3 linked regions of the Mus musculus genome follow. The protein of the gene in region 1 interacts with the protein of each later gene in a biochemical or structural test. Links are inferred from orthologs where the notes say so. Each region holds a gene or a part of one and is shown on either strand. Other genes may lie near its edges. The genes, in order: Esr1, Foxo1 and Med1.

Evidence for each region.
Region 2: the proteins of Esr1 (region 1) and Foxo1 form a complex in vitro, tested with the Homo sapiens proteins (2 studies listed by BioGRID). The link is inferred for Mus musculus from reciprocal best matches to the Homo sapiens genes ESR1 and FOXO1.
Region 3: the proteins of Esr1 (region 1) and Med1 form a complex in vitro, tested with the Homo sapiens proteins (6 studies listed by BioGRID). The link is inferred for Mus musculus from reciprocal best matches to the Homo sapiens genes ESR1 and MED1.

The regions. Positions count from the first base shown.
Region 1 is NC_000076.6:4,744,515-4,748,167, forward strand, and holds part of Esr1 (estrogen receptor), read left to right. Parts: intron 1-2,102; coding exon 2,103-2,293; intron 2,294-3,653.
Region 2 is NC_000069.6:52,344,773-52,348,425, reverse strand, and holds part of Foxo1 (forkhead box protein O1), read right to left. Parts: intron 3,388-3,653; coding exon 2,050-3,387; 3' UTR 2,036-2,049; intron 1,431-2,035; 3' UTR 1-1,430. UniProt on the Homo sapiens protein: Transcription factor that is the main target of insulin signaling and regulates metabolic homeostasis in response to oxidative stress.
Region 3 is NC_000077.6:98,158,723-98,162,375, reverse strand, and holds part of Med1 (mediator of RNA polymerase II transcription subunit 1), read left to right. Parts: intron 1-1,136; coding exon 1,137-1,232; intron 1,233-1,333; coding exon 1,334-1,439; intron 1,440-3,653. UniProt on the Homo sapiens protein: Component of the Mediator complex, a coactivator involved in the regulated transcription of nearly all RNA polymerase II-dependent genes.

The sequences.
Region 1 (3,653 bases):
GTTTGAATGAAAATGGCCTCCATAGACTCATATGTTTGAATGCTTATTCACTCGTTGGCAGAACTGTTTGGGAAGGATTAAGAGGGCTGGCCGTGTAGGAAGGGTTGTGATCATGTGCTTTGAGATTTTAAAAGTCCACACCATTCTAGTTAGTTCTCTCTCTCTCTCTCTCTCTCTCTCTCTCTCTCTCTCTCTCTCTCTCCTGCTTGTGGATCAGATATAAGCTCTAAGCTACTGCTCCAGCACTATTCTTGCCTGCCTACCTACTGCCTACTGTGATGGTCACAGATACTAACTTTCTGAAATCATGAGCTCCAATAAATGTTTTCTTTTGTAAAGTCATAGTGTCTCTTCACAGTAATAGACAAGGAATTAAGACAATTGCCCACACTTAGAAGGATGACCACACATCCAGGGGTTCATGACTAGTACAAACTGGCTTTGATAGGTTTAATACAAAAAAGTATACAAGTTAGGTAGGTAGGAAAGAGCCTTGATATGCTCTGAGAAGAGATGGGAGACAGTGAGTGAATATGATCAGAATACAATGCCTAGGGAGCTGGAGGGGTGGCTTAGTGGTTAAAGGCACTGGCTGTTCTTTCAGAGAACCCAGCATCTGCACTGAAAGCTAAAAACTGCCTGTAGTTCTACCTCTAGAGAATCCAATGCCTTCTGAACTCCAGGTGTACTTGCACGTCTATGGACCACACAGACACATAAAAATAAAATATATCTTAAAATATGTGAAGGCTTGATACCCCAGTGTAGGGGAATTCCAGGGCAGGGAGGGGCAGTGGGTGGGGGAGCACCCTCATAGAAGCAGGGAGAGGGAGGATGGGGTAGGGGGTTTCTTAGGCAGGGGAACTGGGAAAGGGGATAACATTTGAAATGTAAATAAATAAAATATCCAATGAAAATATATATTGCATGACATTCTCACACAATTAATAAAATCTCTATATTAGTGAATGATCTCCATACCAGACACTATTCTAGGCTTTGGCTATGCATATCCGATTCTTCTAAGTCATTTTCATTTGTCTGAACATGTATAGTCCGCATGGGGCCTTTGCCAATCTCTTTCCTTCCAACGACCCATTTGGGAGTCCTCTTAGATTTCTTTTTAGCTACTCTTTCATTTTCTCTATCCCAATCTTCATATAAGTTGACAAAAAATGCCCCCCCCTTTCATACCTACCACTCACCACACCCATTCTCCGACCAAGAGATTTTGGTAGGGGTGGTCCACTTCCCCTCCCGAAAGTCCTCTGCTCAAGCCCAAATCCATGCGAGCGGTCCTCTGGTTGGATTTCTCTGTCCCATTTGACAAAGTGAACGCAAACTCCTTTTGTAAAGTGTTCTTAAAGCTGTTTACTCCTCCATTTTCTTGGTTCCTCTAGAGCTCAGCTTTCTTACTATGCACATTCAGTTTCATTCCTGGGATTTGCTCCTTCCACGAAGGTTTTGAAGGTTGGAATAACCATCTGTATTCTGAGGCTCTTCCCATCCCATGTGCTTGAGTGGTGGAACACTTGAAGATGTAATTGCAGTGTCAAGTTGTAAAAAAAAACAGTCACCCTGGGTTGCCCGATAACAATAACATAAGGATTTGAATTGATATTGTTTCTTATGTGTAGTTTCCATGGGTCATCACTGGGTCTGTGTTCTGAATCCACCAGCTGCTGTAGGCTTTGTCTCGCTTTCCTGAAGACCTTTCATATGGTGTAGATTGGAATGAGACTTGTCTATCTTCGTTTTGAATTAATTATGAATGTCTGAAAAAAAAGAAGTTTGTTAGAAACCTGCTAGCATTTTGTTATTTTATGGATAATCTGTTCTGGGGTATGCAGTCCATTTCTTAAACAAGTTTGTTAAAAAAAAATCAATTTTTCTTCAAGGTTAATATAACAGGCAAATACCTTCTGCTGCATGTGTCAGAAAGAGACAATGGAAGATCAGTGTATATTATGAATCGTTATTTCAAAATGTCAGAATAAAGTGGGTCTGCTGCATCCCCCAGGTCTCACATTCTTGAGAGGGGAAGGAAGGCTTGCTTCTCAAATGCTAATGGATTCGCTGTTTTTCTCCCATCCCACCCCCAGGTCTAATTCTGACAATCGACGCCAGAATGGCCGAGAGAGACTGTCCAGCAGTAACGAGAAAGGAAACATGATCATGGAGTCTGCCAAGGAGACTCGCTACTGTGCCGTGTGCAATGACTATGCCTCTGGCTACCATTATGGGGTCTGGTCCTGCGAAGGCTGCAAGGCTTTCTTTAAGAGAAGCATTCAAGGTAATAGTGTATTGTCTAAAAACTGCTCTGTTTATGCCCTAAAAACAGCAGAGAACAGAAAGGAAGACAAGGTCTTTGTACAGCGCTATTTGCACAACACATGAATATCTAGTAAGTCTCTCTGTTCTCCTTGGTTGAAACTTGGAAAAGACACAGACTCCCAGGAGAAGTGGTAATGCCAGGGAAGCTGTGGCTAAGAATTTCTGCTTCCCCCTGGCAAGATAAGACAGCTTTGAGCAACTCCACTAGAAGAATTGGTAACTGGGTCTCTAGTGTACAAGGAAATGTCTCTGGCTTGATGCAGGCATGGCAGGCATACATTCTTATTCTTTCTCAGCTAAGCTTATGTGATGTGGCCTTGTCCAGGTAAATATTATGTTCTGATCTTTACTCCAGACTGACTCTGATTCAAATTGTTCTTTTCCCGCCCTACATCTCTTTCTTGACTCAATGGATGACATGACCTTTTGCTAACATGAGCAGACTCAATGTCTGCTGCCTTATGAGGGACACCCCATCAGTACTGTGTACTTATAAAGAACCAGCTGTGCCACCTCATTCTCCTGCCTTCCTTGGTCCCTCTTTGTGTACAGTTTATAAGTGCAGCTTTCCTGACAAGCCACCAGATACATGCTGTTGCTCCTTTAGAAAGGCCAGTACTGTCACACGATACAGAATTCCACTGGGAAATGTCAGTCATTTTTACTCCCTAAGGTGTGTGCACTAAAGTCCTTGACAGGGACAGAGGCCCGATGGTACTTTTGACTTCTTGAATTCATCTTTTTTTCCCCCCCTAGCAGTGGGGTAGTTTTCTTTCTTCTCTCTTCTTTACCTTTAGAGCTTAAATAAAGCTTAGTGTAGAGCTATGAAGGATACTCCTGCTGCAGTGCCTTCTACAAAATGCCAACTTAAGGAACTTGTTGAAAACCAGAACCTGCCACATTAATAGACACTGACCCAAGAAGAGATTCTCAGGAACTTTCTGCCTCGCCTCTTCAGCTCTGATATGGGCTAACAACCAGGGGATGGTGCACACTATTTATCTTTCCTCCACAGCTGGAAGAACATTTTAAAAAGCTGTTCATATCTTAATAGAGTAGCCTGTGAGGTCAATGTGGTCCATTTTAAAAGCATTTTCCTTGACACTTATTGCTTTCAACATCTTTTAGAATTCTGCTGTAAGACTTGGACTCCTTTGTCTGTGTTCCTAAAAAAATTAATGATATTCTCTATAGCAACTCTTTGTATATATCCCTCTGTTTGAGTGTATCACACACGAACTATTAATTTTATTACCTGATATCAATTTAATTCAGAAAAATAAAATTTAAATCTAGTTTTAGGTCAGTATAAACTTTAT
Region 2 (3,653 bases), on another chromosome or scaffold:
AGTCCTATTTGTAAACTTCCTCCTTAGATTTACACTGTTCAGAGCCAAAGAGAACAGAGGTGGGGACCGAGAAGTGACAGGATTCTTCAGGACAGAGCCACAAAGCCACCTCCATCGTGACAAAAGCCAACAGCTCAGAGTAGTAGGAGGCGAACCCCAGTCAGACAAAGAACATCACCTTAGATAAAAGTTCCCCTTTCCTGAGCGACAGACAGAGTTCCCATGGGAACTATGACAGCGTGACACAGGGCATCATCTGGCAGGCTTCCCTAGAAGGCTGTAAGCACGTGGCATCTATCTGAAGACTTGGTGCTATGCGCTGTACACAACTCACAGGGTAATAAAAGCAGGTGAAATTTCTTTAAAATACACACATAAATCTACACACAAAACAGAGTGTCTGTAACTATACATAACTTTCCTGCCCAAAGGGCCAGGAACGTTGAGTGTGCAAGTACTAATTACAATGGTTTACGATTAGTCAGAAACATTATCAGGTATCATCGCAAAGTGTACAAACCAGCTGAGCACATATAAAATTAGTACTAATCCAGTTAGAAATACAAAATGAAAATTATGAATGCAGCCCCCAAATACCTCTGATTTCACAAATTTATAAGCAGACAATGTAACAAAGTAGACTCTAGTTTTAAGAAAACATTACACTTCGGTATCTATTCCAAAAGATGTTGAGTCCTAACAATAACATCAAAAGTCATTTATCTGGAAATTAGAACCATTTTAAGTTGTTTGTACAAATTTGCAAATAACAAAATAAACAACAACAAAAACAATAGAAAAAGACCTGTACAAAGCTGGCACTTAATCTTATTCTGCCCCAAAGTTTGACAAGTCCATTAATTCAGCACATTGATCACTGGCTACTTGGCTCTCATGGGTTCTGTGGCAAATGACCAGGTTCAGTCATTCAGCCGAGGTGCAGGACAGAGATCTTAGTTCATGACTTCTCACTGTAGCAGAACACAGGTAGTACAAAGCAAAGTTTATCAAGACTTGAGACCATCACAGTATTACAAAAGAGTATAAACTTTCCTTGGACCAAGTAGGTATTAAAAAACACACACACAAATACAATTCTGTATCTACTGCATATATACAAAACTTGAAAGCACTCCAGGATCTGAAAGTCTTTTCTGCAATTACATGGTGTAGTGAGTTTGGCACTTCATTGTAATGATTCCCAATGGCACAGTCCTTATCTACAGGAGCACAAAACCTGCGGACGCTGGGCAAACATCCTGCACAGGAAAGTGCTGCCGCTGTTGCCAAGTCTGAGGAAAGGAGAAAGGACTTTTTTTTTTTTTTTTTTTTTTTTTAAATCTTGAAAACTATAAGGAGGGGTGAAGGGCATCTTTGGACTGCTCCTCAGTTCCTGCTGTCAGACAATCTGAAGGACTTTTAAATGTAGCCTAAAGGGGAAAAACACACACAATAAAAATATAGTCATTTTCAACTCAATTGTACTTAATCAAGTTGGGGGTAGGGGAAGCTCCAGCCTTCTCAAACAGCTACAAAATTATTCAATGGGTACATTTTTTTTCTTTATTGAGAAAAAATGGGAGGAAAAGAAAAGACCTTTGGCATCTGATTTGATTCCAATGTGTCCATTTATTTTAGAGCTGGCAGAAAGCACAACCCATCCTACAGTGAAAAGAAAGTCTTAAAAGCTGCTAAAGCAATCTGCACTCTATTTTAACCCCAAAAGGCAAACTGATAAACGGAGGGAGGGAGGGAGGGGAGGACAATAACAGGTAAGCACCTGCAACCAGATGGCATTAGAAGAAAGCCTAATGCAACCCTGGGCATAGCTCTGTCAGTGTTGCCCTGGGTTAGACCCCAGCACCAAGTAAGCCAGGCCTGGTAGGGATGAGTTACATAAGACCCTGTCTTTAATTACGTTTTTATTTTTATTTTTTTTATTTTTATTTTTTTAATGTCTAACCATGGAAGGAAGACACATGGTACTGTGTCCCTTTTTCAAAAGGCCTCTTGATACTGCAGTGAATAAACTTACCTGCTCACTAACTCTTAGCCTGACACCCAGCTGTGTGTTGTAGTCTTGACACTGTGTGGGAAGCTTTGGTTGGGCAACACATTATCAAAGTTAAAATCCAAGGTATCTCCATCCATGAGGTCATTCCGAATGATGGACTCCATGTCACAGTCCAAGCGCTCAATAAACATGCCATCCAAGTCACTTGGGAGCTTCTCCTGGTGGAGGACACCCATCCTACCATAGCCATTGCAGCTGCTCACCGAGGAGTAGCTGCCCAGGGCACTCATCTGCATGGGGTGGGACAGAGGCACTTGTAAAGGTGTCTTCACGGGGGTCAAGCGGTTCATGGCAGATGTGTGAGGCATGGTGTTCACCACATGGGGCAGGGTACGGCCGTTGACCGAAGCCGTTTGCTGTGCATGTCCAGGGTGGGTGTGGGAGCTGGGGTTCATCATTTTGTTATGAGATGCCTGGCTGCCATACGCTGGCATGACCGAATTAGGGCCCATCATTACATTTTGGCCCAGGACCCGACTGTTGGGTTGGGCCACTCCGGGATCAACCGGTGACATAATGTCATTGTGGGGAGGAGAGTCAGAAGTCAACAACTCTTTCAAGAGTCCTGGGGCACAGTTATACTGGTTCAATCCTCCGTAACTTGATTTGCTGTCCTGAAGTGTCTGCATAGGCATCTGGGGCAAAGGGCTCATGCTGGATTGGCCGTATGTGTACTTTGAGTAGTTTGGACTGGGTGAATTTAGACTGGTGTTTGGCGGTGCAAACGAATAGCATGGTGTCTGCTGCATCATGCTGCCAGGCGAGGACTGGGTGGACACAGTTAAAGATGTTGGGGACGAGAGAAGGTTGAGATTATCCAGAAGGTTCTCCATGTTTTCTGGATTGCTGATTTCAGACAGACTGGGCAGCGTAGACGCCATCTTGGCAGCAGAGGGTGGATACACCAGGGAATGCACGTCCCCATCTCCCAGGTCATCCTGCTCTGTCATGATGGGAGAAAGTCTCCCACTGATGGTACTAGCATTTGAGCTGGTTCGAGGACGAAATGTACTCCAGTTATCAAAGTCATCGTTGCTGTGGGACCCAGGACTCGCAGGCCACTTAGAAAACTGAGACCCAGGGCTGTCTCCAGGACCCTCTTGCCCAGACTGGAGAGATGCTTTTTTCTTAGCAGCCCGCCCTCGGCTCTTAGCAAATTTACTGTTGTTGTCCATGGACGCAGCTCTTCTCCGGGGTGATTTTCCGCTCTTGCCTCCCTCTGGATTGAGCATCCACCAAGAACTCTTTCCAGTTCCTTCATTCTGCACTCGAATAAACTTGCTGTGAAGGGACAGATTGTGGCGAATTGAATTCTGCAAAGCAAAACAGTATGTTAGAAGTGCAGCACTCCCCCCTTGGAAAACTTACTGCTCAATGGGGATCAGAGATATACAGTGCCCATTCTGAGCAGCCTAACAGCTCGTAATTTGTGTGGAGGTCAGAAGACAGCTTTTGGAGTCTCTTTTCACCTTCCACCTTTACTTGGGTTCTGAGAATAAAACTTGTGCAGCAAAACAAGCTACCTCACTGGCTCTCAACAGCAGTAATAAACTCAGTAAGAGATCGCAAGTTGATGGAG
Region 3 (3,653 bases), on another chromosome or scaffold:
GATGGTGTATGTGTGGGTATCTGTGCCTGTGCCACTAGAATGTTTGCTAGATAACCAAATAAATTTTAAAAAGAAAAAAAAAACAAAACTAGATTGCCTGGTGTGGAATCTGGTGTGTTCATGTTTCCTTTAATCCAAGTATTTGGAGGCAGAGGTAGGTAGAACTCTGAGCTACACAGAGAGACCCTTTCTGAAAATAAACAAACAGGTTAAAGTTGTAGCATGTAAGTACAGTTCTTGCCTACCACTGGTGAGGCGTTGGGTTGTCAGCCCTGCAAAAAAAAAAAAAAAAGCAAGTCTAAAACAATATCCAAAACGAATCTGTAATACATGTGTATTATGTGTATGTACATGTATGTGGTCTCAGCGCATGTTGGTGTTTTGTTTGGTTGGCTTATGTATTCCTGTAGACCAGGCTGGCCTGAGCCTCACAGAGATCCCCGAGTTTGGTGGAAGGTGGAACTCTGGGATACTGAGACCAGCCTGGCCTACAGAGTGATTTCCAGAAGAGTCAGAGCTACACGGAGAAACCTTGCCTAGAAATACTTAACAAACAAAATGAAAATCGGTGTTACTCAGGCTAATGTTGTGCATGACTGTATGCCAGCACTAGATAGGAGGCAGAAGCAGGGGCAGGTAGCTCTAGACAGACAGTGAGGGTCAGCCAAGGGCTGCACCGGGAACCTGCCTCAGAAACCAACCAAACCACCCTTACTGAGGAAGTTTTACGGTAATAGTACTGATTGGCCACATCAAATAAATGAAAAGACTAATTGAGAGCTGGGCATGGTCGTGAGTACCTGTAATCTCAGTGTTAGAGAGGCTAAGACGGGATTTGGGGTTCAAGAGTAACCTGTGCTACACAAGACTATGTCATAAGTTACAAAATGAAACAAAAGTCTTGGCCATTCCTGGTTTCAGAATTCACTCTCAATTTAGGCTGTTTACTAATTTTTTGTTTTTAAGTTTTTCTATGTTGTAATTATTTTATATTCATGAATGTTTTGCCTGCCTGTATGTATGTGTACCTTGTGCGTGCCTGGTGATCAACTGGCGATGTTACTATTTGCATAAAGACAATTATTTGTTTGTTTAATGTCTTAAATATGGTTATGATCTTTTTCCTCATTGTTCAGATTCTCCTGGGCTCCTCCAGTTTGAAGTGTGTCCTCTCTCAGAATCTCGCTTCAGTGTATCTTTTCAGCACCCTGTGAATGACTCCCTTGTGTGTGGTGAGTTGTGTGGGTGGCCAGCCTCTCTTGGGGACATCCTTTCTTGAAAAATTGAGAACCCGGATGGATCACAAGGATCACTTCCACATTTTGTCTTTCAGTGGTGATGGATGTGCAAGACTCAACACATGTGAGCTGTAAACTCTACAAGGGGCTGTCAGATGCACTAATCTGTACAGACGACTTCATTGCCAAAGTTGTTCAAAGGTAGTAGTGGCCCTTTTCTCCTAAGAATTTCACTGAGATTTGTACAGTGTGTGGATGCAATTATGTATTTATTTATTCATTTATTTTTCAAGAAAGGCTGTCCTGGAACTCTCTATATACCAGGCTGCCCTTGAACTCAGATCTGCCTGCTGCTGCCTCCCGAGTGCTGGGTTTAAATGTGTGTGTGCATCCTCATGATATATCCCATACCCAGGGTCTATATGTTTATGTTTAACATAAGTTAAAAGTATTAGAAAAACATTGCCATTTAAATTTAAATATTTAAATTTACTCCTTTTATGCTTTGAGATTTAAAATAATGTGACATTTTTTGTTTGTTATTTAAAAGTCACTATGTACACAGTAGGGATAAAGCTGGCCATTTCCAGCCTTGCTATACATTTAAGGTGATAGAGAGCTGAGAAATAAACTTTGTTTTTAAAGACACACTCACTGTTGCCTCCATAGAATTTACTGTTTAGACCAGGTGGGCCTTGAATTCCTTTGCCTTGTGCTGATTAAAGGGTGGGTATCTTCATGACTCGCCTAAATTATTAGGTTTTTTTTTTTTTTTTTTAACATACCCTCTTCTTTCACATATACCATGTTATATAGCTGTGTGTGGGGAGTTAACATTTAAACCAGCAAACTTCCTGGAAACATTAATATGTACTTTTGAAATTTTTCTTTCTAAAGTAGGGAGGAAGTAGCCTATTTTAAAAAAGAGATTTCATTTACTTACGGTTTGTTTTTTTTTTAAAGATTGATTTATTTATTATATGTGAGTACACTGTAGCTGTCTTCAGACACTCCAGAAGAGGGAGTTAGATTTTGGTTTTTGTTTGTTTGTTTGTTTGTTTGTTTTGGTTTTTCGAAACAGGGTTTCTCTGTATAGCCTTGGCTGTCCTGGAGCTCACTGTGTAGACCAGGCTGGCCTCAAACTCAGAAATTCGCCTGCCTCTGCCTCCCGAGTGCTGGGATTAAAGGCGTGCGTCACCACACCCGGCCCTAGATTTTGTTAAGGATGGTTGTGAGCCACCATGTTGTTGCTGGGATTTGAACTCAGGACCTTTAGAAGAGCAGTCAGTGCTCTTAACCACTGAGCCATCTGTCCAGCCCCCTACTTACGGTTTTTTAAAAAACTCTTATTGCTCGTTGTGAATTTCAGATTCTGCACCACAGTCCCACTCATCCTCCCATCCCGCCACATCCACCCTCTGCCCTTGCGACCTCAAAGGAAACAAAAAGCTTGTTTGTTTGTTTGTTTGTTTGTTTGTTTTGGTTTTGGTTTTTTTGGGGGGGCTGAGGGGAAGCTGTACTGTGTCACAGTGTGTCCTGAGGTATGCCCGAATCGCTTTCCTTAAAAATGTTCAATGCAGTGAGTCATTGATCTGGTTTGAGGCCTCTGTCTTCTGCTTCACTATCAATACTGGATCCTCACTGAGGCTCCCCTCAGATAGTCTGTTGTTGCCCTGTATCATGGAGATCCTGCAGCTTTGGATCTGCAGGACTGGACCTTTATTTAAGTTTTGAGGCATGGCCTTGTGTTTTCCAAGCTGGCCGTGATAATGTAATTAAGGCTGACCTTGAATTCCCAATCCTTCTGCCTTAGATACCCAAGTGCTTTCATCAGAGGCATAAGCCACTCTACCTGGTTTATTTGGTGCCAGGGAGAAAACCCAGGGCTGTGTGCCTGGTAGGCAGGCACTGTAATAATTGAGCCCCATCTTCATCCTCAAAATAGATTTTAATAGATTGTGATTAACTTTGATTGGAACGCTGCTGTTCATTTTACATATCCCCAGCACCTGTCAAGTAAAACTGTCAACATCTTGAAGATAAAACACTTAATAGTTATAATGCCCAAAATATCAGTATTTGCCTCAGGGTAAAATTTGTTAACACACATAGTAAAGCAAAATGTCTTAAAAAGTCTGTTGAGAATGTAAACTTACCCAGAAGCTAAAACTAGTCTGTGCTAAGATAACTAGTACTGCAGACCAGCAACAGAACTTTCCAGAGTGGCTTTTGCTATATTTCCTCCTGAGTTTACTTATCATGACCTTTCCTCCCCAGGTTTCTTCCATAGTTTTCATTTTTGAGACAGGGTCTGGCTGTTGTAGTTCAGACTTGCCTTGAACTTGAAGTTCCCGTGCCACCCACGCCTGACAACTTTCTTTTAGCTCAGTGTAAATTGTTTTTGGACTCTGTTTT